Linked DNA regions of Saccharomyces cerevisiae S288C. Changing the gene in region 1 together with any one later gene gives a genetic interaction. Each region holds a gene or a part of one and is shown in the gene's direction. Other genes may lie near its edges.

What was found.
Region 2: mutations in ARV1 (region 1) and GWT1 together harm fitness more than expected from each alone (negative genetic interaction), as found in Saccharomyces cerevisiae (4 studies listed by BioGRID, with this or other methods).
Region 3: mutations in ARV1 (region 1) and RLM1 together harm fitness more than expected from each alone (negative genetic interaction), as found in Saccharomyces cerevisiae (3 studies listed by BioGRID).
Region 4: mutations in ARV1 (region 1) and SYT1 together harm fitness more than expected from each alone (negative genetic interaction), as found in Saccharomyces cerevisiae (4 studies listed by BioGRID).

Annotation. Positions count from the first base shown.
Region 1 is NC_001144.5:620,273-627,154, reverse strand, and holds ARV1 (sterol homeostasis protein ARV1), read left to right. Parts: upstream 1-3,271; coding exon 3,272-4,237; downstream 4,238-6,882. Other genes in the region: palmitoyltransferase ERF2, read right to left, coding at 1-37; CDD1 (cytidine deaminase), read left to right, coding at 225-653; methionine aminopeptidase MAP1, read left to right, coding at 824-1,987; putative signal sequence-binding GTPase GPN3, read right to left, coding at 2,134-2,952; CSC1 (Csc1p), read right to left, coding at 4,334-6,682. UniProt on the Saccharomyces cerevisiae protein: Mediator of sterol homeostasis involved in sterol uptake, trafficking and distribution into membranes. Also regulates the sphingolipid metabolism. Required for growth during anaerobiosis and sterol uptake.
Region 2 is NC_001142.9:260,580-268,185, reverse strand, and holds GWT1 (glucosaminyl-phosphotidylinositol O-acyltransferase), read left to right. Parts: upstream 1-5,633; coding exon 5,634-7,106; downstream 7,107-7,606. Other genes in the region: SIP4 (Sip4p), read right to left, coding at 1-2,260; protein kinase activating protein DPB11, read left to right, coding at 3,135-5,429; DNA helicase SRS2, read right to left, coding at 7,239-7,606. UniProt on the Saccharomyces cerevisiae protein: Probable acetyltransferase, which acetylates the inositol ring of phosphatidylinositol during biosynthesis of GPI-anchor.
Region 3 is NC_001148.4:375,723-383,902, reverse strand, and holds RLM1 (Rlm1p), read left to right. Parts: upstream 1-2,752; coding exon 2,753-4,783; downstream 4,784-8,180. Other genes in the region: YDC1 (alkaline dihydroceramidase), read right to left, coding at 1-448; YPL088W (aldo-keto reductase superfamily protein), read right to left, coding at 910-1,938; 40S ribosomal protein eS6 RPS6A, read left to right, coding at 5,508-5,513, 5,908-6,612; glutathione-disulfide reductase GLR1, read right to left, coding at 6,950-8,180. UniProt on the Saccharomyces cerevisiae protein: May function as a transcription factor downstream of MPK1 that is subject to activation by the MPK1 mitogen-activated protein kinase pathway. Binds to the DNA sequence 5'-CTA[TA](4)TAG-3'. At least some RML1 target genes are involved in cell wall biosynthesis.
Region 4 is NC_001148.4:720,537-730,289, reverse strand, and holds SYT1 (Arf family guanine nucleotide exchange factor SYT1), read left to right. Parts: upstream 1-5,572; coding exon 5,573-9,253; downstream 9,254-9,753. Other genes in the region: mitochondrial 54S ribosomal protein mL43 MRPL51, read right to left, coding at 77-499; YPR099C (uncharacterized protein), read left to right, coding at 177-533; TMH18 (Tmh18p), read left to right, coding at 762-808, 905-1,343; LEC1 (Lec1p), read right to left, coding at 1,675-4,896; YPR096C (uncharacterized protein), read left to right, coding at 5,146-5,448; U2 snRNP complex subunit RDS3, read right to left, coding at 9,330-9,653. UniProt on the Saccharomyces cerevisiae protein: Guanine nucleotide exchange factor for Arf GTPases, stimulating the nucleotide exchange from the GDP-bound to the GTP-bound form. Catalyzes both the GDP release by and the GTP binding to ARF2. Has no exchange activity on Rab GTPases.

The DNA of each region.
Region 1 (6,882 bases):
TTTCCGATCTTGTCGACCTTCTAGAGACCAAGGCCATTATCTTCCCCGTTTCTCTTCTTGTTACCTTACGCTTTCTTTCCTTTACATTTTTATATTTGCAAACTGTAATCTTGATAAGGCGCTGCTCGCCAATTTCCGAGTAGTTTGACAAAATAAACACAAACTGTTTATGTACAAGAAACTAGGAAAACCAAACAGAGAATCTCAAGCAGAGAAATAAGGTAATGAAAGTAGGTGGCATAGAAGACAGACAACTGGAAGCCTTAAAAAGGGCGGCACTGAAGGCGTGTGAACTCTCCTATAGCCCCTATTCTCACTTCCGTGTCGGTTGTTCCATATTAACAAATAACGATGTTATCTTCACTGGTGCTAATGTCGAGAATGCAAGCTACAGTAATTGTATATGTGCAGAACGATCTGCTATGATACAAGTTCTAATGGCAGGCCATCGCTCAGGATGGAAATGCATGGTCATTTGTGGCGATTCTGAGGACCAGTGTGTTTCCCCTTGCGGCGTTTGCAGGCAGTTTATCAATGAATTTGTGGTCAAGGACTTTCCAATAGTCATGCTTAATTCCACAGGTTCTCGTTCTAAAGTCATGACAATGGGAGAACTGCTGCCCATGGCTTTTGGTCCATCTCATTTAAACTAGCAGCAATCTTTATTTGGCTGCTCCCCGAAAAGAAAGCGAAAATTTTTTACTTATTTTTTTTTTTTTTCATTTTTCATATAAAGAAGAAAAACTGATATTATTATTATTCATCCCAAGAACGCTATTGTGTATATTCCTAGCAAGAAAAAAATAAGCAAAAAAATTGTATAATGAGCACTGCAACTACAACAGTTACTACCTCCGATCAGGCTTCTCATCCTACCAAGATATATTGCTCCGGTTTGCAATGTGGTAGAGAAACTTCGTCCCAAATGAAATGCCCTGTTTGTCTAAAACAAGGCATCGTTTCCATTTTCTGCGACACAAGCTGTTATGAAAACAACTACAAAGCTCACAAAGCTTTGCACAATGCTAAGGACGGCTTGGAAGGTGCTTATGATCCTTTCCCAAAATTCAAATATTCTGGTAAAGTGAAGGCTTCATATCCACTTACCCCAAGAAGGTATGTCCCTGAAGATATTCCTAAACCGGACTGGGCCGCTAATGGGCTACCAGTCAGTGAACAAAGAAATGATAGACTTAACAACATCCCTATATACAAGAAAGATCAAATTAAGAAGATTAGAAAGGCATGTATGTTGGGTAGAGAAGTTCTTGATATTGCCGCTGCCCATGTCAGACCAGGCATCACTACAGATGAATTAGATGAAATCGTCCACAATGAAACAATTAAGAGAGGTGCCTACCCTTCCCCTCTTAATTATTACAACTTTCCTAAATCGCTTTGTACCTCTGTCAATGAAGTTATTTGTCACGGTGTGCCCGATAAAACTGTCTTGAAGGAAGGTGATATTGTCAATTTAGATGTTTCCTTATACTACCAAGGTTATCATGCAGACTTGAATGAGACATATTATGTCGGCGAAAACATTTCTAAGGAAGCTCTTAATACTACTGAGACCTCAAGAGAATGTTTGAAACTAGCCATTAAAATGTGTAAGCCAGGTACCACCTTCCAAGAGTTAGGTGATCATATTGAAAAACACGCTACCGAAAATAAGTGCAGTGTAGTAAGAACTTATTGTGGACATGGTGTTGGTGAATTTTTCCATTGTTCCCCAAATATTCCCCACTACGCCAAGAATAGAACACCTGGTGTTATGAAACCAGGTATGGTTTTCACCATCGAACCTATGATTAATGAAGGTACTTGGAAGGATATGACCTGGCCTGATGACTGGACTTCTACCACCCAAGACGGTAAACTGAGTGCTCAATTTGAACATACACTGTTGGTTACCGAACATGGTGTTGAAATCCTAACAGCCAGGAATAAGAAATCACCAGGTGGCCCAAGACAGAGAATTAAATAGATCTAGGTATTTTTATCTTATACATATAGAAACCAATAAAAAACTTGAACTTGTACTTTCCCGAGTCCGAATTGGTTATTATGAGAAGCTATTTTTTTTTTTTACCTCTTTTTATATGAATCAAGCGTACATAATTTTCTCTATAACTATTCTTCGACATCTATTTGGTCGTTAGGCTCTTTCTGTTCTTGTCCTTCTGCCCATTGTGTTATATCATCGACATACGATAATATGGTTTCTATACTGTCAGGATTATTAGATTCCAAAGGTAAAAATTGAACCATACCGAAATCATCGACGAGGTTGGCTATGCACTGGTTCAGTCTTAGAAATTTAGGGTTGGATGCTTGATTCATTCCTTCCGTTTCCATTAATAACATTGCATCGGGATTCAAAAATCTTTTCAGTTTTTTCTTATTGATGTCGCCTTTTATCAAGTCTAGTTTGCTCAACACATTGATATGGGGTAGTTCCAATAGAATCATCGCAGACATAGCAGATAGTGCACCGCTAAAAAATTTTGAGCTATCTATCACAAATGGCGCTTCCAAAAGATATGTGGCGCAAAGGTTGAAATTCAGTTGTTGAGTTAAATGGCGCACTATGTTCGGTAAGACAGGGATATGCGTGTAGAGTTCAATTTGACCGGGACAGTCAAAGATTAAATATTCATCGTTGAAATCCCCGATCTCTTCGTCAAGCCAGTCTAGATTTTTCAAAAGATATTCGAAGCAATATATTAGCGCACCATTGGGGCCCAAATCCATTTCTTCCATGACATCATCTAAGGAAATTAAATCTCTAATGTCAATAGTAAATTCATACTTGGTAGCTTCTGCGGCAGGGTCTAAATTTACAATATGAGCTCTTCGTCCTACAGTTTGCATATGTGATATAATGGAATTACAAAATGTGCTTTTCCCCGCACCTGCAGGTCCTAATACCATGACACCAACGCGAGACATTTTCCAATGCTGATTACTCTATTTGTACTTGTTAAGTTTTTTTCACGATCAGGATGACTTGCCAACCTCTTAATTATTGATCTTTCTTTTTTGATCTTTCACCTCATCATTTTAGATTTTTTGCAAAATTTTTCTTAGTATTTTTTCAGTTTAGGGACAGCGGGCCAAATTGAATAGCCCTATGTGAACAATTGATGATTCAGAAACATCAATGGCATAAATCAAGCTGAGAAATTCTTGTCATTGCATAGAAGGAAGGTTTGGTGCGTCAGTGAACGGATGAAGCGCATCAAAAAGTAGATATTAGCTGTGATAAACGATGATTTGCATAACGTGCATGCGGCCCGTAGATTCCCTTTATACAGTGTACTCGAATGACCACATTCAGCTGACAGATTGTCCATATTGCCAAGAGACAGTAGACAAATATGTTGAGATAGATAATGTCCTGTTATTCATTGATTTGCTTCTATTAAAAGCAGGTGCATATAGACACTTGGTATTCAATGCTTTGGAATTGCATCTCTCAAAATATCCGAAAAGAAAAGCGCTAAATGATTGCCAGTGTTTGCGTGACTATACGCAAGCTTTGTTATTTAACGTAAAGAACTGGTTTTGTAAATATGACCGGTTAAATCGCCTTTGGCTTCTACTATTATCATTCGAGATTTATTTAACTTGGGTTACTGAGGAGAGTAAATACATCTACTATTTGAACCGTAACAATAATGATGGTAAGCTCATCATGCTTTCAAAAAAATTACCAGAGAGCTTCAAATGGGACTCGGCAATCATGCGCAATACCATTACAAGTAAAGTGTTTACCTGGAGCCCACCAATACAATATCTTTACTTTGCAAGTTATTGTATTCTTGACGTTTCTTTATTCCACACCTTTACCCAGTATTTCATACTGAAAAAGTTGCATTGGAAGCACTATTCCGTTTCTTCAAAGGATGTCATATCATATACGATCTTATTATCGTACGGTGCCAAAATTTTTCCGATATTGATGTTGATATGGCCTTATGATACTCTAATTTCGATGAGTATCATTAAGTGGGTAGCTAATCTCTATATTATTGAATCGTTGAAGATTGTAACTAATCTTTCCTATTGGAATATCATAAAGATTTTTATAAGTGTGTCTTTATTACGATATTTCATGGTTAAGCCAATACTTATAGTTTTCGTGGCAAAGTTTAACTTTTCAGTTATTAAGAATTTAATACATCAGGAGTTTATACTACTACTACAGAAGTCAGGAACTTATTTATTGTTATAAGCAAATAAAAAAATATCCAGTATTACTTGTATCAAAAATCTTATTTTGGCATTTTCACAACAAAATATATAAATATAGAAATAGCACCTTGGGATTTCAATCCAACATCGGACCCTCTAATTCACTCACAGCGTAAGGGTATGCATACGACTCTTCCTCATTGGCAGAATTCACCGTAGAATTGTCTCTTTCGTACTCGCGAATTGAACTCAATGCGATATATTTTGACAACGGCAAATAGTTCTTCTCGAAATCATATAGGAAACATAATGTCACTACTGGAAGCGGGAAAAGGCAAGATGACAAAACCCATCCTCCTTCGAATCCTGCCAGTGTTCCTGTCATTGTTAATTGAAACAATAGCAATCCAACGATGATTCTTCTAAAAATTAATGGCCATACTTTTCCTGTAGAATGGGGCAAATGATCTGTGGCAAAAATCAATTGATATTTATAGACGTAAAACCCAATAATAAAGTACGCCAGCCCTGAAGTCAAAATTTTCGTGCTCATTACACTGTAGATCAACGTTATAATCAAAATCAGAATTGGCTGTGGTAATTGTAGTCCAAAGTTAAATATCGGTGGATTGTAAAGTTCATTCCGTTGCCTAGGTGTCTTAGCCTTGATTTTCACTAGAGGAAAGCCGATCAAACTACCAACTAATAACAACTTAAACGGGAACATACCAATACCTTGCAATATAATCAAATCGACATAGAATAAGGAGAACTCCTTCACAGATGTAGCAAGTTGATAAGCAATTTTGGTGGTATCGCTGAGGTACGCCCAGTAATTAGATGCTGTACCTGCCAATGTGAAAACTAAGAAAAGGTTGACAAAAATATAAAAGAAATTTTTTGAAACAAGTGAGATTTCCTCTTCGCTGTATGATACCAATCCTTGATAAGAAGTCAAATACTCGTAAAAATAGGGGATTCCAAAGTTAAGCAATGTGAAGAGATAGGTTGGTAATAGCCCCGTTACAATGTTAGCGGCCCACTGGTGATCTTTTAGTAGCTGCCCTACGCTTGGCCAGAATTTCGAAAGTGTTTTCAAATTTAGCAATGTGGCTAAGTATGATACAGGAATGACTAAAAACAAACTTGAAAGGCCTATAAATACGGTAGTAGAATAAACTTTTGTTAACCGGTCCTTTCTAGAAAGACAAACATGATCCCACTTGATATCGTGAGGTGCAGGAGCCAATCTGGTTATGAAGTAATGTACTCTAGGATCTAATACCGCCTGAGCTGCCATTTGCGCATTAGCAACAGAATCCATCGTAACGAATGCCGTAGGTGTTGCGGAGTAGTGTTGTTTCCTCGCTTCAATAATTTCAGCATCAATAAATTTTAATTGCTGCTCCAGGTACTCTATGGCATCTACTTCCTTCCCAAAGATACCACGATATCCAATTTTCATTTTTGGTCTCTCTCCAAGAGAAATTTGAGAATATAGTATAGTATCCTCGTCATTATTATTGCTTGATGGAACATTTTCTCCATGTGTAACTGCGCCTGATTGCTCGTTTCCCAATAAATGATAGTTCTCCGAATATGGTTGTCGAGTACGGAGCTCCCTTGGACATTCTGAATATTTTAATTCCAGGTTTTTGAGTATTTTCTTCCGACAATGAAATAGCTTGTTCAAAGGACCCCACTCTCGACAAATAGTGATTGATGAAACGGTGCCGATTTTTAATTGTTCAATTCTGGTCTTTAAGGCTTCCGAATCACGAAGCTCTATCGGGATGCCTGAGAGCCTTATCGTTCTATCAGTAATCGTATTTTGCTTCCCAAGATAAGCTTGCCTAGTACTTACGACGTGCTTTGTTTCCGCAACTGCCATTTTAATTGCTATGAAGGTGAAGAAATATGTGAAGAGAACATACATCCAGAGGTACACATTTGTACGTTCGGGAGCTGAATGATTGTCACCATCGCCACTTCCCTCCACAATTCTTTTTACCAGATGTATTAAAGAACTTTCACTGTCATCATCATCGTTGCCGTCATCAATTTTTCCAGTAAAATGATATCTTACTGGAGATATAACGCACACAGAGAAGAAACAAAAAATAGAAAGTAATTTGATGCACATTTTGAAAAAACTCAAAAACACATACGCATCTAAACCTGCATATTCCAGAATCTGTTCGTCCCGTATCTTATACAACACTGTTAACCAGCCGAATAAACTTGACTGATTCCAGGACGGTAAGCGAAGGTTCCCGTCATCTTTATATCGTCTGCTTGCGTATAATCTAGGCCACTTTTTTAGTAGAATTGAGAACGAAAGCAAAGCAAAAATACCTAGTGAAGTAGCAATAGTCAGTTGCGTCGTTACAACCTTGGCGGTGGGTTTTCTGAAATCATGATGCTCATCTGGAACTGTATCAAGATACGATGCTGCCGACTTGAGCCTTTCGATATATGATGTCATTCAGTACTGTTCTATTGTACCCAAAAAAGGCATTCAATGCTAATCTTGTTTGTTTAGCCTTCGTGCCCGCCATTATGTTAAAGTGTTGAGTTTTTCTGATTCACAATTGTTATATATGCCACATTAGGGGGAGGCGTGTCTTTGCAAGATCATGAAAAATTAACTGTGATTTTTATTTTTAAATAAAAAAAGTGCAAATT
Region 2 (7,606 bases), on another chromosome or scaffold:
TATTCTTGCATTTATTTTTACTTTTTTTAAAAGGAATTTCTAGTGGTAAGCTATTGTCACTGTCACTATCCTCTTCATCATCATCTTCCGCATATCCTTCATCTGTTTCGTAGTCATAGTTTTCAAAGTTGTTCATAAAAATTTTATTAAAATCGTATGGTGACGCATCTAGGAAATTGGAGTTAGAACTCGAGTGTTGCAAAAGGTTTAGCTGGGTATTGACCTTAGACGCGAAATTCGACTTGACTGAACTTGAATTAAAGCTCGATACGGCATCCAAATATCTCAATTTATTCAAACTTATTAACAATCGTTGCTCTTCTTGTGAGTAATGGATTGTCTCAAAAGGAAGTAATTTGAAATTGATTTTGAGGATTTGTAAAAAAGGGTTTGTGGAAAATTCATCATAGTACCATATTGGACACCAGTGATTTAAAAAGTTTTGAAATTTTTCAAACTTTATTTTACTTGAGTGGGGCTGGTTTTGACCACTTTCGTATTTAAGTGATAATGACCAATTGTTTAAATTGTTTAAACATAAGTCAATAATGTCAATACTATTGAAGGGCGTAAAATGGTAGAGATTTAGTTGCTGTGGTTGTAACTGTTGATTATCATCATTATTAGAGTCATCTGTAAGAATTAAAAAATATAGGGACAATATCTCTAACGAGATATCCTCTTTCTTCAAATCTTGGTCCCCTTCCTTTAAAGTCATTAATTTTAAACTCAAGTAAAATAAAGTTAATTGAATCTCCACAAAATCAGGTTGATTGAGTTTGTGATTTAGACCCGTCAAATTCTTAAGTAGTAAATTTGTTGTTAGTTTTTTATTTGAACTGGATGTTAAGAATCGGAAGTTATCGTGATCACTCAAATTGTGATAAAGGTTCCACAGTAATAAATTTTTTTTAAAGCTTTCCAGTTCATTCTGGAAAAATTGGAAATTTGGGTCCGAAACATTTAAAGATGAGATATTCAACAAATTACATCCATCCAAAGAATATATGATGAAGTTTAACAAAATTTCAAAGGGCTTCAGCCTGGGGATTTCTAGAACCGAGATTGATTTCGGTTGAAATTCTTCAGTTAAAAAGTTGGACTTTGGTAAACCTTGAATTAAGGACCACCATGAGCTTAAGAATTGAAAGCACCAAAATGTCACTATTCTATCATCCTCTTCATTAGATTTATTATTATTATTGTTGCCTGATATAGGAATTAAATTTTTGGGATTTATGTACAATCCCATATTCAAAATATTTGTAAAGTTTAGGTTTAGCAAATCATTGGTCCATATTACTGAATTTACATTTGAATGTTCTGTTAACGAGCTTTTACTTTTACAAGAGTCAACAGAGGCGCCCATAAAATAAAAGATGGATAAGTTAACCAATTGCAAAACTTTCAAGTCTAATTTGCTGTTTGTTGTCAGAGAAACAATAAGCTTCGTGACTTTAAAAAGCTTGAAATCATCAAAACAAGACCAAGTAAATTGAATAATATAAAGTAACGCCAGTAGAGTTATGGGTTCACCTGTCATTGCGGTTGAATTAATCTTGTCTAATAGCAAATTTTTCCATAAATTTGTAGGGTATAATAGAAGTAGCAAAGAATTTTGCCTTTTAAAAAAATCTTTAATAATGACAGACAACAAATTTTTCAAAAACTGAAGGTTATAATCATATTTAAGTAAAAGAAAATTTGGGAGATGATTAAAGTCACCATTCAGGTTCAAAAAATTTGTTAACAGTTGCAGTTGTAGATCAATATTATTTCGATCGTCTGTAAAAACTACTGCTTTTTGAGTAGGAAAAGTATTAGTTAGAATATTCCATGTCAAATGTCCCAAAAACCTTTGATTTTCAGACTGAGTGTTGTAATTATCAAAACAATAAAATGTATCATTAATGAACGGCAAATTAGAATTTGCATTGGCGCTGGAACTCGCATTCATATTTGTCAAACGGACGACCTCTTTTTCTAGTAGTTCTGTATACCCCTTTGGAAGACCTCTCCTCGACAGTTTATCCGAGGTTTTGCAAGGGAAGTCAATTTTCGCACAGTTTGAACAGTTCGGTTTTAAACCGTCACACTTGATTTTTTTCAGTCTGCATCTATCGCAAGCATGCGCCTTTCTGACAGAGAAATCAGTGATTGCGTTAGAGGAGCTTTGACCGGTTGGTACTATCAGGACTTTATTGCTGCAGGAATCTGTATCATCGAGGGAATAAGACCTGCCATATTTCCTCTTGGCCATCGTCTATTCAGAGTAGCGAGAAGAAAAAAAGAAGCAAAAAAAAAAAAAAAAAACGAGCAAAAGAAATCGAGCAAAGGAGAATGAGCAAAGGATAAACGGAAAACAATGGTAAAGAGGATTAGCCGCTGAACTAGATTGTAAATTGAAGCGGAAAAGAAAACAAAGGAGAGGAAATCGGAGAGGCAGAAAGCTTTCTGCCTTATATACTTTTTTTTTTGCCGCCGAGTTCTGAGATCACGCCCTTAAATTTAGCCGCCAAAACACCGGTCGAACGGCGAAAATGGATCGGAGTCTTGATTGCACCCACACCTCGCATTTTGTGCACTAACATAAAATATGACGAAGTGAGAGTCATGACACACAGAATAACTTAAAAATACTTGAGGAAAAAGTTCTCATATTATGAGGTCATAATAACTACATCGTTATTGTTGCGATATAACTTCAATGTTTTCTGCCTGCAAAAGAATCCTTCCTTTTCCTTCTTTAATTGAAGAGTCCATGTAACCTTGTTTCGTTACTTATATTTATTCACCTTTCTACTTTAGTCACATAACGTAATCTGGGCATAATCATTGAGGTATCATTATTAGCTTGAACTCGTGGTTCCTATTGTCGCCAGGTTTCTTTCAACGCATTTGCTCTTTCCGCTTCGCATACGGCGGTGATCAAATGCAAAACTTACCCTCATCAGTATAAGAGAAGAAAAACTGCATGGACTATTCGCGTATTGCCTGGTAAAGCTATATAGTACTATTGGTAATGTTTGTACTGTTTTATGTACATGATGAATAAGAAGAGACAAATTTTACGTGATATATAAGTCTTCTATTTCTAGTATGGCAGGTATTTTATCAGTAGCATTAATATTACTATGAAGCCCTTTCAAGGAATAACATTTTGTCCGACTGCAATAAATAATGAAATCTTAGCTAAAAAAATATCAAAGAAAATTATTAAGTTAGGAGGTATATTTTCTAAAGATTTGACCAGACAAGTTAATGTCCTTGTTGTTGGGTCCACCACCAATACAAACAAATTTAAATTTGCGGTGAAGCATAGATTCGATATCATATTTATTGACATTCAAGCCATTGATGACATTTATCAGCTCTGGCTGTCTGGAGAAAATATATTGCCGGACTCTAATACGGCAACAATGACAGGATCCACCTATGAGATGCTGAAGATACTTTACCGGCGATTTTCGTTTAAATATTTGCATAACTTCAATATCTTCATTGGCAGAATAACCGACACTAACATAACTTCCATCGATTCATTGGTTAGGAGTATTAAAAAGTTAGGGTGTTCTAGTTATAACTATCAAAACTTTGTAATCAAAGATACCTCTTCACACAATGATGACGATGATCAAGGTCAGAATGGGCAGATATCCATTTTTGTTACGGATACTTTACTAGGAGCAAGAGTTAACGCTGCTATTGAACAAAATATACCTATTGTACATTTCAAATGGATTCTCGATTGCCAAAAAAGAAGCGCACTGTTACCGTACGATCCCTATTATCTTTTACCAAATATTAAAGACCTGCCCTATGATTCAATCGGATCAAACTCTTGCGATTGCTGGGATAAAATAAACACCACCTTTCCAACCAATATCGATGCCCAATCCTCTCTGCAGCGGCAGCAATCCTCCAGTACCCTGACTCCTTCGCTCCCGAAAACATCATCCCTCTTGAATAAATTTAAACCAAAGGGTGAAAAAATATGGGACAAGGCAATGTCTCTACAGCAGCATAGTAAGACAAATTTTTCAGTACTAGGGCAGTCACCATTATCGATAAATAACAAACAAGAAGATTTAAGTGATAATAGTACTTTGATTTTCAAAAATTGTGCGTTTATCATTCATCATATTTTTCCTGGCAATCACCGTTCAATACTAACCAAAATTGTTGTTCAAAATGGGGGTAAAATTGAGACGTCTTACTTGAGCGGCATTTACGATCATTCTTATTACATCATTCCAAGTAATAAAGCTCTTGACTCCTTCAATGATTTACCTGAGATTATAGATGATAATGATGGTATAGTTACAGAATTTTTCATTGAACGCTGCTTGTATTATCAAAAATTACTACACCCAATAGATTTATGGTCAAAACCCTTCCTCAGCACAATAGAGTTTCAAGTTTCGTCTTCTTCAAAGTTATTGCATCATGAATTTTCTTCTTCCCCTTTTCTGAATGTTACTATCACTGGATTCTCTGGCGTAGAGCTGTTACATCTGACTAAAGTATTAAATCTTCTAAAACCAATGGGCATCAATTATGTAGAATACCTCAATAAATCCACTGACATTCTGCTAATCAACTTAGCAGCTTTACCCAGTATCCCGAAAACCCATCCGTTATGGTCGAATGAATTTAGCGATCTTTTTACTCAGTTTTGCATTAATAACAATAATGATGATCCTGGTGATAATAACAGAAAAGATTTTCAAAATAATTCAATCTTGAGAAATTCGATGAAAAGGAAAATTGAATATATCAAGAAATTCCACTCCATACCGGTAGTTACTCCAGCATTTATTTTTAAATTATTGTCCGCTGCATCTGGAGAAAATAATGAAATCTTTTTAAACAATATCAAGTGGTGTATTATCTGCCCAAGAGGACACAAGGACGATTTTAAATGTAAGATAAAAAAACCATACTATACCAGCATTAGTTCAGAAAAAAAGTACCAAAACAATGATCCAAAAATCGACAAAACTATTCTTTTGAAAAGAAACAATTCCTCATTATCGGAGCACTCTATGAAAGATACCAAAAACGAATTATTGCAGAAAATTAGAGAAACTGATTCTGGAAGAAAAAAGCGTAGTGTCTCATCGAGTATCATGGATGTTTCTTCAGAGAGACAAATGCCGGATACGAAAAGGATCAAGTTGGAGTCACTGCCAAAAAATTTCGTTCCTAAACAAATTAAACGAACCACGAGTTGGGGCACAATAATGTCAGAAAATGTGCCTACAGAGCAGCCGACTGCAATTTCTAATCCAGAAGAGATCCCAAGAACTGAGGAAGTTTCACATACTCAAGTTACCTATGGCTCCATTCAAGATAAGAAACGTACTGCCTCTTTAGAAAAACCTATGAGACGACAGACAAGAAATCAGACAAAGGAATTAGATTCTTGAAATGTAGTCCGTAATTTTATAAGATATTCATTTACATACGCCATCTACAGCATTATTCAAATCTACTCATCTATATGTATTACCGTTTTGTATGATAATACTTTCCATGACATGCTCGCGTGAAAAAACAGCATGAGAAAAAGAGGATCGCAATAAGAAGACACGTAAATATCTAAATAAATGGCAACAGTACATCAGAAGAATATGTCGACTTTAAAACAGAGAAAAGAGGACTTTGTGACAGGGCTCAATGGCGGTTCTATAACAGAAATTAACGCAGTGACATCAATTGCTTTGGTAACTTACATATCATGGAACTTATTGAAAAATTCCAACCTTATGCCTCCTGGCATTTCCAGCGTGCAATACATAATTGATTTTGCATTGAACTGGGTTGCTTTGCTTCTATCTATTACTATTTATGCTAGTGAACCATACCTTCTAAACACGCTAATACTGTTACCTTGTTTGCTCGCATTCATATATGGAAAATTTACTAGCTCGAGTAAACCTTCTAATCCAATATACAATAAAAAAAAAATGATTACACAGCGGTTCCAACTAGAAAAAAAGCCGTATATTACTGCGTATCGTGGTGGGATGCTTATTCTGACTGCTATTGCCATCTTGGCTGTAGATTTTCCAATTTTCCCAAGGAGGTTTGCCAAGGTGGAAACTTGGGGGACATCCCTGATGGATCTTGGTGTAGGATCATTCGTTTTCAGTAACGGTATTGTTTCTTCTAGGGCACTGTTGAAAAACCTAAGCTTGAAGAGTAAACCCAGCTTCTTAAAAAATGCATTTAATGCCTTAAAATCAGGAGGAACTCTATTGTTCCTAGGATTGCTGAGGTTGTTTTTTGTAAAAAATTTGGAATATCAAGAACATGTCACAGAATATGGGGTTCATTGGAATTTTTTTATCACCCTATCATTGTTGCCACTTGTATTGACCTTTATTGATCCCGTCACAAGAATGGTTCCACGCTGCTCAATTGCAATATTCATTTCATGCATTTATGAATGGCTACTTTTAAAGGACGATCGCACTTTAAACTTTTTAATTTTGGCTGATAGAAATTGTTTCTTCAGTGCTAATAGAGAAGGCATCTTCTCATTTCTAGGTTATTGCTCGATTTTTCTTTGGGGCCAAAACACGGGATTTTACTTGTTGGGAAATAAACCAACTTTAAACAATCTTTATAAGCCTTCTACGCAAGACGTAGTTGCAGCATCAAAGAAGTCTTCGACTTGGGACTATTGGACTTCAGTAACCCCATTAAGTGGCCTCTGTATATGGAGTACAATTTTTCTTGTTATCAGCCAGTTGGTTTTTCAATACCATCCTTATAGTGTTTCAAGAAGGTTTGCTAACTTACCATATACTTTGTGGGTCATTACTTATAATTTACTATTTTTGACTGGGTACTGCTTGACTGACAAAATTTTCGGTAATTCTTCGGAATATTATAAAGTTGCCGAATGCTTGGAATCAATCAACTCCAATGGGTTGTTTTTATTTTTGTTGGCAAATGTCTCTACTGGTTTAGTCAATATGTCTATGGTCACGATAGATTCTTCACCCTTAAAATCATTCCTGGTTTTGTTGGCATACTGCTCATTCATAGCTGTCATATCGGTTTTCTTGTATAGAAAAAGAATATTCATTAAGCTATAATAACACACCATCCACATTTCCATGTAGTTCGTATACAAACCCTACCAGTAAAATAAAATTAACTCCTATGTGCTTTAAATAAAAATTATAAACCGCCTCCAATAGTTGACGTAGTCAGGCATGAAAGTGCTACTAATCGATGACTATGATTTCACCGTTGTTTAATTTTGACTTTTTTTTCGCACGTGACAGCTGAGAAAATATATCCATTTGACTTGATGCAGGTTCATTCTTCACCTTTTTGGAAAATTTCTGTGTCTTTTTCATTGCTGCGTCAGCCAAAAACTTAGCATTGGAGATTATTGGACGATTGTCAACTGTAGTGTCATCCGGATTATGTAATAACTCAGCAGCTGTTGTATTTCTGCTGTCATCTTCCTCAAATTCACTCTTCAAATCTATCACTTCCTCCACCTTAACCTTGTCACCTCTCTTAGACTTTCTATTTCGAGTTTTTGGTTTTATTTTTTTCGTCTTTTTCGAGCCCAAAAGCTCTCTCC
Region 3 (8,180 bases), on another chromosome or scaffold:
TTAAAATGGTGACTATACCACACATGATAAAAGAAATGACCATTTGGATTCTAAATGAGCTTTCCTTCCTTTTCTTCTCATCCTTAATCAAGATTTCTTGAGTTTCTGCAAAAATACTCCACGATGGGATGATGGTCGCATACAGCATTGGTAGTTCGTCTAGCAATTGATAACGATACTGTAAAGTCATATGAAATAACCACGAACCAATACCAACCAGCGAGAACCCCATTCCTATCAATATATACCTTGTTTCTAACTTATTACGCCAAGCGCTATATGTAGAATAGAAGGCGGTCATTAAGAATATACTATTGGTAATAGTATTTGACCATTCTGCAATATAGGGGGATACGACATAATTCTCCTCGCACCAATCAATCAGAGAAGTTGGCTTGCCCCAATAACCTTCAATCGGGGCTTCTGGATAAGGCCAGCTGAACAGCATTTGATTTTTTTCTTTATCTTACTTTCTTAAAAATTCACTAGGTTCTATGATATATCCTTTTGCTTAAATTCTTGAATTGAAAAACGAAGAACAATGCAGATAAACCAGATAGTTATTTCCTTTTTTTTTTTCACTATTAGCAAATATTCAAAGATTGAAGCATGCAATAGAAAGAAAGCAAGCGAAGTAAAATAAGAAAGGCACACCTGTCATTATGGCATTATAAAAAGAAACTGATGGATAAGTTGCTTTCAGGAAATCTGATCCCCTGATTCTGTAGGTTGGCGTACGCTATCGGACATGCTATGCCACTCTCCGGGAACGAGGGATTTAAAAAAGGGACATGAAGTAATATGAGCCGAATGGCTACGATCAGTAAAAATCAGCAGGTGTCATGTTACAGTATATATGATTCTCGTTATTTAGCCTTCTATATATCAGTGGGCCCATGAAAATCTAACTTAACATCTTTGCCTCTGGGGTTTGTAGGGCTCCTCGAGGTACTTTATCTCTTCTTCTGTTAGAGTTACTTGTAGTGCGGCAATCGCTTCGTCTACTCTTGCTGTAGTGTTCAATCCCACAATAGGGTGACATCCTTTATGCAAAACCCATGCAATGGAGAGCATAGCCATCGAGACTTTTTTGTCCTTCGACACCTTTTCCACACGATTTATAATTTCCTTTTGTTCTTCTTCGAGATTATCCAAATGTAACGACTTGAAAGTTGGATCACTCTTAATCCTGTCCGTGCTTTGGTTCAGAGGACGAGTCAACATGCCTCGTGCGTTAGGAGACCATGGAAGTAAACCAATATTGTGTCTTTTGGCAAAAGGAATCAATTCGCGTTCATCTTCACGATAGAGCAAATTGTAGTAAGACTGCGAAGAAATGAACTGAAACCAGCCATATTTATCGGCTGTGAACTGCAGTTCTGCAAATTCAGTTGCCAACATACTCGAAGCCCCAATGTATCTAACGTGGCCCGCTTCAACAACATCATTCAATGCCTTCATGATCTCTTTCATTGGCGTTTCATGATCTAATCTGTGAATTTGTAAAAGGTCTATATATGTGCCCAGTCTTTTCACAGAGTTCTCGACACCAGCAATTATATGCTTTCTGGATAAACCCCGCTGGTTGGACAAGTCCAATTCTTCAAATTCATTTAAAGTGAAGTTATGATGCAAATCAAGCGTTTCATCAACTGGGAAGTAAATTTTGGTCATAATCACCACCGTTTCTCTCTTTATACTGTAGTACTCCAGAAACTCCTTAATTATTCTTTCACTCAAACCATTAGAATAAAAATCTGCTGTGTCAAAAGTACGAAGACCTTTATCGTAACAATGCTTCATAATCTTGAAAATTTGGGTCTTGTCCTCTATGACCCAGTCCGCCCATTTCTTGGACCCGTATGACATACATCCTATCACTATCGGTGATATCTTAAGACCTGAGTTACCGAGTCTTACCTGCTTAACTAAAACCATTTCTGCCGCCTGATGTGGGTCTTCCGTAACAGCCAAATTACATAGTTGGCAAGACAATTAATATATGATACCTTGTTCTCTGGGTCCTAATATATATATATATATATATATATATACGAAAAGGCTGAGAAGAATAAGGCAGATGTTAGCTTAGCTTCTTTTACTCAAGCAATGAAAACAAAATCGAAGGGAAACAAATTCAAACCAAGCGGCCGAGTTATCTCCCGTTCCTAACCTACTACACTAATCACATTTTTCCGTGGAAATAACGTTATTGAAAATGCGTTCTTGCCTGCCATACGTGGGTGAAATACTTCCACGTTCGCAAAAAATACTTCCACGGTGACGAAGTCTGTCTCAGTCGTATATTAAATGCAGAAATCGTCTTATCATTATTGGGCTCTCTTAACGGCGCAGCATCACCGGGTGATGAATGCCAAGCCGCAGAAAGAAAGAAAAAAATTTACTTCAGATTTCTGATAAAAATAAAACGGAAGAGATGAAAGCTAATAATAGAAACAGCTCGATCTTCCTCTGAACAATAATAATTAAAGGACAGACAAAAAGAAACGTAAGAAAGAAGCGAGCCTGTTCTAAAGTGTTCAACGACTGATTCAATTAGAACTGCCTACTCCTGATAGCCAACTCAACTTTTGACTCGTTAAAGTAATTGAAAGCTGGCAAGCAGAATTATTCTTTTTTTTTTTCAAGGTTTCTATCACGTTGTGAGGTTAATATCCCCCGGAGCAAACAGGCTGAAGCGTGAAAAAAACTTAAATATTAAAGTGTCGCAAAACTATACTATAGATACAACATGGGTAGACGGAAGATTGAAATCCAGAGAATTTCTGATGACAGAAATAGGGCTGTCACGTTTATAAAACGTAAAGCTGGCCTTTTTAAGAAGGCCCATGAACTATCCGTTCTTTGTCAAGTAGACATAGCCGTCATTATACTGGGGTCCAATAACACGTTCTATGAGTTTTCCTCTGTGGATACGAATGATTTAATCTATCACTACCAAAATGACAAAAACTTGCTTCACGAAGTGAAAGATCCTTCCGATTATGGAGACTTTCACAAAAGTGCATCCGTTAACATAAATCAAGACCTACTCAGGTCGTCTATGTCAAATAAGCCTTCGAAATCAAATGTTAAAGGAATGAACCAGTCAGAAAATGATGATGATGAGAACAATGATGAGGACGACGATGATCATGGCAATTTTGAGAGGAATTCAAATATGCATTCGAATAAAAAAGCCTCTGATAAAAATATACCGAGTGCACACATGAAGTTGTTATCCCCGACCGCACTCATTTCAAAGATGGATGGTAGTGAGCAAAATAAACGTCATCCTGAGAACGCGCTGCCGCCTTTACAACATTTGAAAAGATTGAAACCGGATCCTTTGCAAATAAGTAGAACTCCGCAACAGCAACAGCAGCAAAATATATCGAGACCATACCATAGTAGCATGTACAATCTTAACCAGCCTTCATCCAGTTCATCTTCTCCTTCCACGATGGATTTTCCAAAATTACCAAGCTTTCAAAACTCTTCCTTTAATGGTCGTCCTCCACCCATTTCCATTTCACCGAACAAGTTCAGTAAGCCATTTACAAATGCATCCTCAAGGACCCCTAAACAGGAGCACAAAATTAACAATAGTGGCAGCAATAATAATGACAACAGCAACTACACTCAGTCACCATCTAATTCTTTGGAAGACTCTATTCAGCAGACTGTCAAAGCAAGAAGGAAATTGTCCGCCAGACCGGTACTTCGTGTGAGAATTCCGAACAACAATTTCAGCAGTAATTCCGCTATTCCAAGTGAACCCTCCTCTGCCTCCTCCACATCGGCCAACGGCAATAGTATGGGCTCTTCGCAGATAATGAAAGAAAACAAAACAAGTAGGTCTAGCAAAATTTCTCCACTATCCGCATCTGCCTCAGGCCCCTTAACTCTCCAAAAAGGTAATAATGGCAGAATGGTAATAAAATTGCCAAATGCAAATGCGCCTAACGGTTCTAACAATGGTAATGGCAGTAACAATAACAATCACCCTTATCCTTTCGGAAGTGGGTCTTCACCTCTTTTTTCTGCAACACAGCCATACATTGCCACTCCCTTGCAACCATCGAATATTCCTGGCGGACCTTTCCAACAAAATACATCTTTTTTAGCTCAAAGACAAACCCAGCAATACCAACAAATGTCTTTCAAAAAACAGAGCCAAACAGTACCATTAACTACAACATTAACCGGACGCCCCCCTTCAACTTTTTCCGGCCCTGAAACCAGCAATGGCCCTCCAACTGGTTCACTGCCATCGAAGTTCGTACATGATTTGATGAGTAATTCTCCAAATGTTTCTTCTATATCGATGTTTCCAGACTGGTCAATGGGACCCAACAGTGCCAAGCCGGGAAACACAAACAATCCTGGTACTTTCCCTCCCGTACAGACGGCCGTAAACAACGGCAACTCCAGCAATATCAGCAGCACTAACAACACTAACAACAACAACAACAATAACAACAACAACAGCAGCAACAACAACAGCAACAACGGCAACGACAATAACAGTAACAATAGCAATAACAGTTACTATAGTAATAATGAAGATGCACCCGTAAATGGAGCTGCTATTTCAGAACATACTACCGATGGTGACTCGAACAATCAGTCCAACTCAAGTACATATGATGCTGCTGCCACCGCATATAATGGAAATACCGGGCTGACTCCATACATAAATACTGCTCAAACACCACTAGGCACTAAATTCTTTAATTTTTCGACTGATATTTCAGGAGAAAAAAATTCAAGCAAAATATAAACCAAAAAATTTGACCAGTATGAATATTCCAAGCATAAGAAACTTCTTTTCATTTAAAAAATTTATATTTATATTATTGTAAATGCACATATTTACGTAGTGAATAACCCAAACAAGGAAGAAAAACGAAAAACTCAATTGCATTTTCTGAATAATGATAGTATTTAAGTACTCTTTTGTGCATTAGCAACTAAAATGAATTGCCGCCTGGCCTGGAGTTTGATGTAAGCAGAAGCCGGAAGAAGACAAGAGGTTCATTCAGAGAAAACATCCGTACATTCGAGTTCTCATTGAACCCATACATTTCAACTATTTTTACATAGTTCGTTTTTCATGTGTAAAATTGTCATCGACGCGCCGGAGCATCGGAAAGTTGGAACGTGCGCGATTGCACCAATCCCACTGGGGCCGTGCATTCTGTAGGCAGGAAGCCACTGGACACTCTGCCCGTTCCCACTTGGAAGATTGGCGTAATTCCACGCTCCTCTATCGATTCTAGCGGGAAAGTTATCTCTCCTGGTAAGCGTTGGAGGAATGCCGCTACCTAGGTAAGTCTACTGGGTGGGAATTCCAGTACCGACGTCTAGGAACATCATGATGCTGCAGTTTCTTTGAAATTTCATATACAGTGTTACCAAGGATAAAGTGGTTAATGCTTATTCGTCATTGAATTTTTATATTTGCTTAAGAGAAGTGACAAAAGAGTGAAGACAGACTATACATCATGAAGGTATGATTTATGATACTATTATTGAGGGGCAACAGAGAACTTTATATGTGGAAAAATGGCATGAAAGTTTGAAAGTGAGAAAGAACTAAACAGAACCAGACGTCGTAAAGATTTTAGAAATTTTTTATGGAAAGAAGCAGGAAGACTACCATATACTAATTGATGCGTTTGTGGCGTTATTTTTAAACAAACAGAGCGGGTTTACATATACTGTTACTACAAACCGTGAAATTGAAGCAGTTCATATACTTGGAGTATAGTCAATAAAAGACAAGCTTTTTCATCTTCCACTTAATAATTTCTCTAGAGTAATAAACTTCACCCTATTCAAACATTAATTTTGCAATAGTATACTAACAAATTTTCTTAATAACCTGTTGAAAATTTAAAATAGTTGAACATTTCTTACCCAGTTAACGGGTCTCAAAAGACCTTCGAAATTGATGATGAACACCGTATTCGTGTTTTCTTCGACAAGAGAATCGGTCAAGAAGTCGATGGTGAAGCCGTTGGTGACGAATTCAAGGGTTACGTCTTCAAGATCTCTGGTGGTAACGACAAACAAGGTTTCCCAATGAAGCAAGGTGTTTTGTTGCCAACTAGAATCAAGTTGTTGTTGACCAAGAACGTTTCTTGTTACAGACCAAGACGTGATGGTGAAAGAAAGAGAAAGTCCGTCAGAGGTGCCATTGTTGGTCCAGATTTGGCTGTCTTGGCTTTGGTCATTGTCAAGAAGGGTGAGCAAGAATTGGAAGGTCTAACTGACACTACTGTTCCAAAGAGATTGGGTCCAAAGAGAGCTAACAACATCAGAAAGTTCTTCGGTTTGTCCAAGGAAGATGACGTTCGTGATTTCGTCATCAGAAGAGAAGTCACCAAGGGTGAAAAGACTTACACCAAGGCTCCAAAGATCCAAAGATTGGTTACTCCTCAAAGATTGCAAAGAAAGAGACACCAAAGAGCTTTGAAGGTCAGAAACGCTCAAGCTCAAAGAGAAGCTGCTGCCGAATACGCTCAATTGTTGGCTAAGAGATTGTCTGAAAGAAAGGCTGAGAAGGCTGAAATCAGAAAGAGAAGAGCTTCTTCTTTGAAGGCTTAAAGTTAGAAAGCAGTAAAAGATAAATTCTTTTGTTCAAAAACTCCTTTCTTATTCTGTATTTTGTGTATTTTTAAGCTTAAAATCAAATAACTTTATTTTTTATATAATTAACAAAAAGAAAAATAATCATATGTATTGTAAACGAGAGTCGGAATGTATCCTCAACTGAATATCCAAGCGAGTCCACAGTAGCTAATAGTCTGAAAAAAAAAGGAACCCTTGTCCTTGAACAGAAATGACAAAATTACTACGTATTTCAGGATGCTATATAAGATTGTTTACAAGAGTACAAAAGTCCAGTATAGCAACAGCAGATTGGACGTCTAGTTTCGTTGCTTCATCTCATAGTAACCAATTCTTCTGCGCTAGTCGGATGAATAGCAACACAATTATCGAAATCAGCCTTAGTGGCACCCATCTTTATAGCAACACCGAACCCTTGCAAGATTTCTGCAGAGGAATCACCAACAATGTGCAGACCGACAACCTTTTCATTTGGTCCCGCACAAACAATTTTATATCTTGTGGGTGATTTCTCACTCAACATAGCATAGTACATGGCGGTAAATTTGGAATTGTAGACCTTTATATTCTCCTTACCGTACTTTTCAATGGCTTCCTTCTCAGAAATACCAATGGAACCGGCTTCAGGATGTGAGAAAATTACGCTGGGGACGTTCTCGTAATCTAGTTTGTCATTACGGAATTTCTCTGGACCAAACAGTCTATTAGACAGCTTTCTGCCCGCTGCAATAGCGACAGGTGTCAATTCAACTTTTCCAACAACGTCACCTAGAGAATAAATGTTTGGAACATTGGTGTTCTGATATTCATCAGCAATTATTTGGTCATGAGAGTTCAGCTTTATACCTACATTTTCTGAACCCATACCTAGATGGGATTTACGTCCAATTGTCCAAATTAATTCGTCAACGTCATCGATGGACTTTGAGTCATTCATATGTATTTTCAGTTTGTCAGTTTCTACATTTTTCTCCACCTTAACAATTTTGGATAGTTTATGAACGTTGATGCCTTCCTTTACGTAATGGTCAGTAATAGTGTTCTGGATGCATTCATCAAATTTTCTCAAGACAGTTTCACCTCTAATTACCAAGTGCGTTTCGGATCCCAGCCCATGGAACACACCTGCTAGCTCAATACCAATATAACCAGCGCCAACAACAACAACTTTCTTAGGTTGTTCTTCCAATCTAAAGAACCCATCAGAATCAGTACCTAATTCGAAACCTGGAATGTTTTCGGGGAAAATAGCCTTTCCACCGGTCGCAACTAAAATATGGTTAGCGGAGTAAACTTCAGTAGTATTATCCCTTTTCTGAACTTCAACATTACCGTCCTTATTGAATCTAGCCCATCCAAATACAACATCCACTTTTTCTTTTTCTAAATTCTTCTGGTATATACCGTTCAACCTATGGACATAAGCATCCCTTTTCTGCTTAAATTCTGGCCAATTAAAAGTCAAATGCTCTTTATCTAATGGAAGATTCTGATATAATCCATATTCATTTGCATGGGATACTCTAGTAGCGAGGTCAGAAGCA
Region 4 (9,753 bases), on another chromosome or scaffold:
AGTCTTATCTGCCCCAAATTATATATACAAGTATAATTATCTCTCTCTATTTCTAGAATTTTCTTATATACTAAAGCTAAATTCTATGCCTTTTCGCAGCATGCAGAGGCGACCATATACCCCTCACACTACTGTTCAAGCTTTCCACGTTATCATTCTTTGTTCTTCTGCGTAAAATGTCTCCATCAGAATCCTTCAATAGCTTTAGCTTGTTTTCTACATTGTCAATGTTCAAGTTTCTCACACAAATAACTTTTTCACGCCCATTTGTGTATTCTGCCCTCAACAAAGGATGTCCAGACTTCCTCATCACTTCAAACTGTATCCATGGGAACTCCTGGCCCCATTTATCTAATCTCTTTGAAGTCAAAAATTTCCTCATGCCTTCCGAAGACCCTCCCCAGTTACAGAATTGCAAAGTAATCTTTCTGCATGGAAACACGAATGCTCCAACTCCATTACGACCTATGGAATTTCGTGCAATAGCTTTCACAACCATTTCTCCATATATTCGTGTCTGTGTATCTACTTAGTCATGGTTTATGATAATCGTATTGATTGATCTTTTTTATCTCAGGGCTTATGATTTGTTGTAATTCTTATGAGCATCCCTCATCCGAAAAAGACGGAAAGCACCGTAACGTATAGTGCGATAAACTTACAGAAAAGAATAGTATTATTTAAGGGAGTTAAATGGAGTTGTTTGATGATATAGGCAGATCAAACTACGCTTTACAGTCCAGTAAACTTAACAACGAAAAATGTGTTTAGTCAAAACTACGGCTCATTTGCTTTTTTATTCCTTTGTGTATGTACAGATTAAGACACAAGAAAAAATTTGAACAATTATGATTAATTGAGAATAACTGACTAACAACTTTTATGTACCAACTTAATCTTTCAGATTTGGAGGAACGACGTTTTATTCCTATGTAGCTTCTCCAATCGCATTCAAAGTTCTTGAAAAAGACCAATTTTCTGCTTTGCAAAATAAGATCTTCCCGTATTTTTTCCAAATGCAAGCGGCATCACCTGTCATCCTGGCCCTTACCGCTCCAATTGCCTTGACAACAGGACCATTATCTTCTTTGGTGGTTGCATCTGTCAGTGGGCTAACCAATTTGTTTTGGTTGTTGCCCTGGACCCATAAAGTTAAAGAACAAAGAAAGAATATTGCGAAGAAATACACGGGTAGTGAATTGGAAGCAAAGGATGCTATATTACGTAAAGAATTTGGCAAGTCGCACGGATTGAGTCTTTTGTTCAATCTTTCTAATGTTTGCGGGATGCTTGCGTACGGTGTTTGTTTGTCAGGTGGTTTGTTAAGAAAAATTCCAAAATAATTATTTTACAAGTAAATATATATATGCAAGATCATTTTTTCGTCATTCCTTTGCCAAGGTGGAGATGAAGTTCGCAATCGGAATTTTTTGACCCTCAATTAAAGAATAAGGGACTCAGTTCTCTGCTATCCTGATCTTGGCTAAAAATAACTAAAAGGGGAATTGTGCTGTTTGTAGGATCTTAAAATAAAAGAGAACAATATTTATCTTGAAGTTTTTTCTATTTTTTTATTTCTACAAGCTTTTCTTATATATAGACCTAGCAATCCTATATTATTAAGCCGGAAAATCGTAACGAATAAAAACGAATAAAGGAGATACTAGAAAGGGCCTACTTTTTAGCAATTTGAGCTTCTAAATAATTTTTTAATTCCTGTGCGAAAACTTGAGATCTCAATTTATCAATTTCACTTTCATCAACAACAAGATTCAATAAATCTTTGTATTGCTTTTCTAATTCAACTTCATTCTCTTTATGTAAAAAATCGTAATCACCTGTATCGAGATCCAAATCCACCAAATCACCATCTCCAAGTCCAAAAGATCCAGAGCTGGATGGCATAACCAAGGAGTTTATGTCACTCCAATTCTTTTGAAGTATGCCAGCAGCGTGTTTGTTATTTTGTTTAGTACCTTGTTTAACCTTCAAATCTAACAACTTCTTATAGATTTTTCTCGCACCAATCTTTTTATTAAGAACATTATTAACTTGAACTTTCAAAAGTTTGACATCAATATCGATATCATCTCTACAAATTAACTTATTGAAGTCGATCCTTTCACTCGGTCCTCCGAATTTACTCTTTTGCAAAAATTTCACTATCGTAGTAATCCAAGTAATAAAACCTTCAAAAATGCCCTCTGAATCGTTCAAATATACATCATGAATAAACTCAAAAAAGGCATCTTGATGTTTGGTTACTAAGTTATGGATTTCTTCCACGACATCGAACTGTGTGGAAACGCCCAACTGACCATTGATAACATCATCAACAAGCCTGATCAAATCACTCATGAACTTCTCAAAATTTTTCAAAGCAACATCCATCCTTGCAACTTTGAAGATCTTGACCATAGGTTCGTAAATCATAGTGACAATTGCCTTTAGCATTTGGGTTAACTCAGGATCTTGCCATAGCTGCCTCATTAGCTGTTTATCATGTTCTTTAATATACAATTGCCATAAATCTTTGACGTGTGTGAAATAAATACCTGACTGATCTTCGCTGGTTACATTCAAGGCATCCGTGTCTTCTTTTTGCAGTTTCCATGATGAATAGGATTCAATAAGTCCCGCGACAACCTCGTCTGGAATTAGATTTGCAGCTGCACTTTTCATTAATACTATCAATGGTACAGGCATGTTCATGGATTCGGATTCTGCATTTACTGCGTCCATAGTAAAGAGTTTAGTATCATGCTCATCCTTAGTATCATTATTAAAGACAAAATCCTTCAAGCATTTAGTCACAACTGAAGCGCCCGGGTCCATCTCAGCAATTTTCCTTTCTAATTCCTTTATAGCTACCTTTTGAGTTTTCAAATCATCTGTTAATATCGTAGAAAACATTGTTTGAAGGAGCGAATGACCACCGAAGGGTTGTGCCATAAATAATTCAATCATACCCCTCATGATCGCTATTGGATTAGTAAATTTCATGATCTGTCCCATTACTGTGTACGGCATAAGCTTATGTAACCGTCTTATTTGTGTATAGAGTTCATAACTGTTATCGTTACCCAGAAACATTTGATAAATCATTGAGGAAATATAAATCTTACACCATTCCACAAAGTCTTGTAAAAGTGGTGACAGGTCTTCAACTTTCGTATTGTCCTTGATTTCTACTAGTAGACTCATCAAGTATTTTTCATCTTTTAACAGGGATGTTTTGAAATCTTTCATTGAGTCTTGCAGCTTTAAAGACTTTTCTAACGCCATCTGTTGGAAACGTATTTGGTTCTCCAAATTACTTACATCTATCAGAGCCCTGTTTCTAATGTCATCTGCTATTTTCGGATTTATGTCCTTAATATCTAAATTAGGCCCACTTAGGAAGAAGCGACGAATAGATGAGCTTTGAGAAACCTCTGCATCTTTACACAAAGTCCTTAAATATTGTCTTAATGAAGTTCTCATTTTTTCACCCACCAAAGTATTGATTTTTGAATCGGATGCATCTTTATATTCATCAAAATCACTTTCTTCACCTTCACCTTCTTCCTCATACTCGTCCTCATCAATATTATCTTCTTCCTTGATCTCATTTAGAATATTTTTTCTCAACGTTTCAGTTTCTTTTTCTGTGAGTACTGTTTCTGTAGCAGATAATTCATTCGTTGTCTGTAAAAATGAAGAATTATCAGACTCTGATGCAGATTGTAAATCAGTGTCAAAAGTGTTGACGATTTTTTCCCTGGCTGCTGATTTAGTTTGCCCATTGTGTAACACTTCGGTTTTAGTTATCATAGACGTCACTTTTTTATTTCTATGAGGTAAGCGCGGACATTTCTTCCCCGGAAATTCTGATTTTAAATCATGAGATAGTTTTTTGAAGTCGCTGTATGTTCTTGTCACATAGAAATAACCAGCATGGTGATCAAGATTACTATTCTCTTCATTGCTGTTATCTTGGTCGTCGTCATCTTGCTTCTTAATCTTAATCAAGAAATAATGATGTTTTCTAGATTGCTTGCTCTTAGTTGAAGGCACGCCAAGGGATAATTTCGAAAATAAAGATGCTGAGGATTCGGGCATACTATTTATGGTACTGTTAATAGTGTTGTTGAAGGCATTCTTCATCCATTTAGAAGTGGAAGCAAATGATTTTATAGCATGGCTTTTGGGACTCGAAGTTGGAGTAGATTTACTAGACTTGTCATTATCCACACTTTCAGTACATTTCCGTGAATTCTTATTGAACACGGATATAATATTGACGTCCCAACCGTTAATAAAAACGGATTCGTTAGTGAGCAAATTCTCTAAATTTTCTCTAGTTGGCATTGCAAATTTCTCAATATTAGAGCGTTTTCTCGCTTGGCCTGACTGTAAAACGAATTTATCCTCATTATAATACGCTTGCTCTTGAAAAGAGCCAACACCGGAGTTAAAGAGCAACAAGATAACCTTTGATAGCTTTTTGGAAACTTTCTTCCTTTTTGAAGCTTCCTCCCTGTCATAACTTTCACTAAACCCAAGACTCATGAAATGTTCAAAGAACACTTGAACCTTACTCTGCCAGAATTTTTCATCAACTAGCAAATTTGTTGAAAGTAAAGGAAATGTGGATATAAATTCTTGCAAAACATAACTCAGCATGGGATAATTAACGCTAAAATGGCCTTTGCCACCGAGCACTGGTGATGAATCGTTATTGGAGATAGGCTGTGGAGCTGTCGGATCGTTTGGTGAGAAAGGATAACCGAACTTTCTCAAAGCAAACTGATCGTTAAGCTTTCCAATTTCATAATCCAATTGACATCGAAGCAGTTCCCTCTTCAGGTAGTGTTCTTCCGTTGGATTTAAAGCAGGAGTGTCTTGAGTAATCATTTGAAGACTGTCTATTTTTGATTCTTTAGTACAATTATCTTCAACCACTGATTTCAGTACACAATTCCGACCACAAGGTAAGGTTCGTTTTTCTTTTTTTATAGAGCCCAATGCACAGTAATTGGATGTAGCTCTTAAAAAAGAATGAAAGCTAGAAAGTGATCAATTATTCGAAAAACACTTTAATACGTTCCTTGTTCACGCCTAAAAAGTTAACTGTCAAATGGTTAACGTACATTTATCTGTCTTATGAGAGGCGAAACAGGCGTAAGCATTAAAAACCCAAGGCCATCTCGTCCTTTTTCTTGTTTTTGGCGTAAAGGAGATGTTGAAAATATTAGGAAAAGTGATATAGGGAACGAAAAGAAAATAGACGCTAAGTTCAACAGGCTTCAGTATAATCTATATTACAAGCCTCTCTCGCACCACAAGGCCGGTTTATTGTACAAAGAACTCTTCTTCAGAAGCTGCTTCTCTTATACTACCTGCTCATTAGACTTTCAGGGTAAAAGGCACCAAGTGGAAAGAAAGGCAGTAGATATAGTACTTTGAATTCTTTTGACATCGCAAGGTTACTCGCATCCACTCCCTATTATTTACTCTGTTTCAACTCATTGTAACTTCATTTTCGCTAACTTCCCGCCAGACCAGCTCTTCAATCCACACTTGCCAGATAATGAATCAGTCTATTTCTTCGTTGATTAAGCTTAAATTCCTTCAATCACACAGTAACGATAAAAATGGCAACAAAAAGGGCGGAAGCAATGTTTCAACAGGCATAGATAAATTAAGAGAGTCGGAAAGTTATAGAAGTCCTTTTCTTCAACTCGCAGAAATACAGGAACACACTAATAATGACGACGATAAACTTGATGTAAAAGAATGCGAGCCCACAAAAAAACACAGCAAACTAAGCAGGATACGGCGTAAGATGGGTAGGTTAGACTTGAATTTCAGGTCAGCCAATGAAAAGGGTTCTGAAGATGATGAAATCTTGGTTGCACAACACCTCCGTAATGGACAAGATCCTGAAGAAATGCCTTTCAAATCAGAAAACAACATAGATTCGATAGAGAAAGTTCCCAAGCCCGATGGTGAGAGAGTCACGCTTACTAGCTCCGGGTCTGATAACGTAAAGAGAAATTCAAAACACGCCCCATTCATTCCTGTGAAACCTGCTCTAGAAAAATTTCCTTCTTCTAATAGATTGTCAAGAGATTACAGAAAATCACAAGAGCCTACCCTGTTTAACGGTGATAGATTAGTTCCTACTCTTCCTACTGTGAGTAGGATATCGACATCTTCTTCCGTCGGTTCCTCTACAGCGGCTTCAAGATATTTCAATCCGTCCAAAAGAGCTGTTGTTGCATCATCATCATCATCGTCGTCGTCAATAAAATTCAATTCGCTGCACGCAATACCACTTGATGCAACTCCTCAAATTGAATTGGCAAAACAACAAGATGAGATCTCCAAAAGGAGGTTCGGAAGAAGGCGCAGTAGAACTGTTGACGTATTTGACTATATTAACAAAAACAATACAGCAAAGAACAAACCGCCACTCTCTCCATCTTCTTTTATTAGGACTATTGACGAGAAAAATACAAATTCTCTTATGCAAGACCCCATGGGATCCCGCGGACCTCTTTTGCCCGATGATGCCAATATTATAAGCAATGATACAGATGGAGCGGAAGCAAGTCACCCAGACCATCAGGTTTTATCAAGGTCTCGATCTCAAAGTACGTCTTTTGTTCAAGGCAAGGGCGGCAAGAGAAAATCAATTGAAGATGAAGGCTACCATAACAAATTGGGCCTACCTCATGGATCAGGCCCTACTTCAGTTTACAACAATAAAAGCAATGCCAATTCAACTATTACTGGAATGTCAAGAAGAAGTAGCTCAATTGTGAATGCTTTAAGTAGTTTTGTTAACCTTCGCTCCTCCAGTTTATCATCCTCTAGGCAACAGCACCTTCAACAACAACAGCAGCTACAACAAAAACTGGATGTCTCGCTGGAAGATCTACCACCGGTTCCCGCGCCTGAATTTAGTGATTCTTGTAAGGACTTCTTGATTAAATTAGCGCCCTACGGAAAGTTCATTGGGATCATTTTAACGGAAAAAGATGATGAGTTCAAAAAAAATTGTTTAAACTACCTATTAACGAATTGCTTCGAATTTAAAAATGACCCTTTAGATATTGCCCTGAGGAAATTGTTGATGTTTTTAGAGCTTCCAAAGGAGACGCAGCAAATTGATAGATTGATAATGGCTTTTAGCTTTGCATACTATAAGGCCCAAAAGAGCTATTCTAAGAAAAAAGGAATTGAGTGCCCCTGGTCTAATGCAGACCAGGTGTATTTTATTGCATTTTCCTTACTAATGTTGCACACTGATTACTTTAACCCCAACAATAAAAGCAAAATGACAAAGCATGATTTCGTGGATTTAGTCCATAATGACAAATACTCAGGAGGTAATGAGATCCCTATGGCCGTTTTGACATATTTTTATGAGAATGTGACAGCCAAAGAGTCGCCGAAATTTAATTACTTTTTGATGTCACCAATGGCGTTGGACGATAGCATCCTTGATAAAGATGCATTTGACACAAATTTTGCTATCACATTATCTTCGAATTCGATGTATTCTCCCATAGACATGATAAAAAGGGGGAGTATAATACCCAAGGAAGCTTCCCTTTCCCCAATCTTTTATCCGCTAACGAATTCAATTAGTGCATCTGGTATTGCCCCATCTACGGCGGCTTCTTGCCCACCAAGTACGTCGGGTACTATAAACGGGGCCAACCTCGGAACGGCTAACAGTAATAGCAATAGACCGGCTTCTAACTCAATATCGTCTTATTTTTCATATAATCCAAGCTCTAGTTCTAGCGGAAATGCTACGTTAGTTCAAGATGACATTAACGTTTATTCGCACATTATAAATGATACATTAAATGAAGTAAATCTATTTCCAGAAGTCTCAAAATATTGGAATAAGAATGCTCTGAAGGCAAATTTGTTGAGAAATGAAGAACATAAATACGAAAAATATTATAGTATTATGAATGATACTAAAGGTGGGTATTTACGCTTTCACAAAAGTCAATTGAATAAACTGAATTTACCTAATTTTGAAATATTGAATGATAATAGCCGGTCTGGATGCAAGAACTCCGATTATAAGTATTGCAAAATCCTTCAAATGGGAGCAATAATGAATTTGGGGATGCCCAGTAGAAAATTTTCTATTGTTAACTCCGCTAAAATTCATTGGAAAAAGGAATTTGCCATATTAACATCATTGGGGCTTTTGATCTGCGATAAAATGGACTGGATAAATCCACAGATGATGAAGGACCCAAAATCAGGAACTACAAACTATATAATTGATTTTAAATCAGGATTTTCTTTTGTTCCGGGAAGTACGATTGACGTGTATAACGGTTTATTTGCTGATAGGGAGCGAGATTCACTTGGGAAATCTCATTTCGCAAGTTTGGTACTTGCGTATACAGAGCATCATTCTACTGGGAGTCATACAAGCAACACAACTGCAGCAAGTAGCTCCGCCAAACACAATGAAGGAGTCTTCGAGCCATCTTCAGATGAAGAGGATAGCATAACGAATTCTACTGATGGTACGAGCAGTGTGAGTAACGGCGAGAGTGACAACGATAGTGTTTCTAGTTCAGATAATCAACTCAGTTCAAATGACAGTAATGAAGATTATCATTCCATTAAGGACGAGTATCCGATTTTCGAAGACGAAAATGCCGATTGTCTATTATACTTACATACATGTCATCGAAATTTTATCTGGAAATGTGCTAATAAGTATGAAAGGGACAACTGGATCGATTCTATCAATCTATTTTCAGCATATGACGGATGCTATGTGGAAATTGGTAGTATAGCAAACACTATTTGTAATAAGAGAAAGCTTACCATTTTGCAGAGGATGGAAAGACTTAGGTCTATAAAATCAGCCAAATGGGAGAAATTGAAAAAATTTGAAAGCACTCTGATGCTTATGGGAAAATGTGTTCCTATTAGCACAAAGACTAAGACAGATATGATAAACCGCATAAGACAGCTGGCTGTCAGAATGGACTGGTTAATCTACGAAATTAAGAGAAGCGAGCTGTTTGTAAGTATCATAAAAGAAGTGACTCGCAAGCAGGCTGAAAAGAATATCTTAGAGCATGGTAAAGGAGAAGAGGAGGGGCAAGGCAATAACGACGATAGTGATGGTATAGATGATATAGAGGAAAGCTTCTTATTCAACGAGAACAGTTTGCAAGTGTGCGTGAGCGACAGTAGTTACGACGAATATAGTAACGAATAAGGGGAAGAAAATAGTACCATGGGTTATAAATGCATGTTATTTATTTATATATTTTTACATATTCTATATGTATGTGTTATACCTTTTTCTTTTTCTCGAAATGTCTATCCAGTCTATTGCTGCCAAGGTTTAAGATCCTAGGACAGCCATCTTTATCTTTACCTAAGCGGCAGCACTCCCAACAATAGAATGCGTCATTGACTCCAACATTTAGATTACAAATTATACAATTTTTAGCTTGTTTACCAAACGAACAGTTTTCACATACTCTAACTTTCCTTTTGGGCCTTACATAAGAGTCGCAGATAGGACATTTGCCATCACATTTTTCACAAAGAAGACCTGTCTGTACACCAGGCTGCTTTAGGCACATTATTAGATCAAACTGATGGCGGGACATGTTTTTTTTGTTGGAGGCTTGTATGTGTGTGGATCTTTTTTGTATCCATCTTCATTTTCTATGTTGAATGCCTTAGTAAGTGAGAAATATGGCAAGTAAT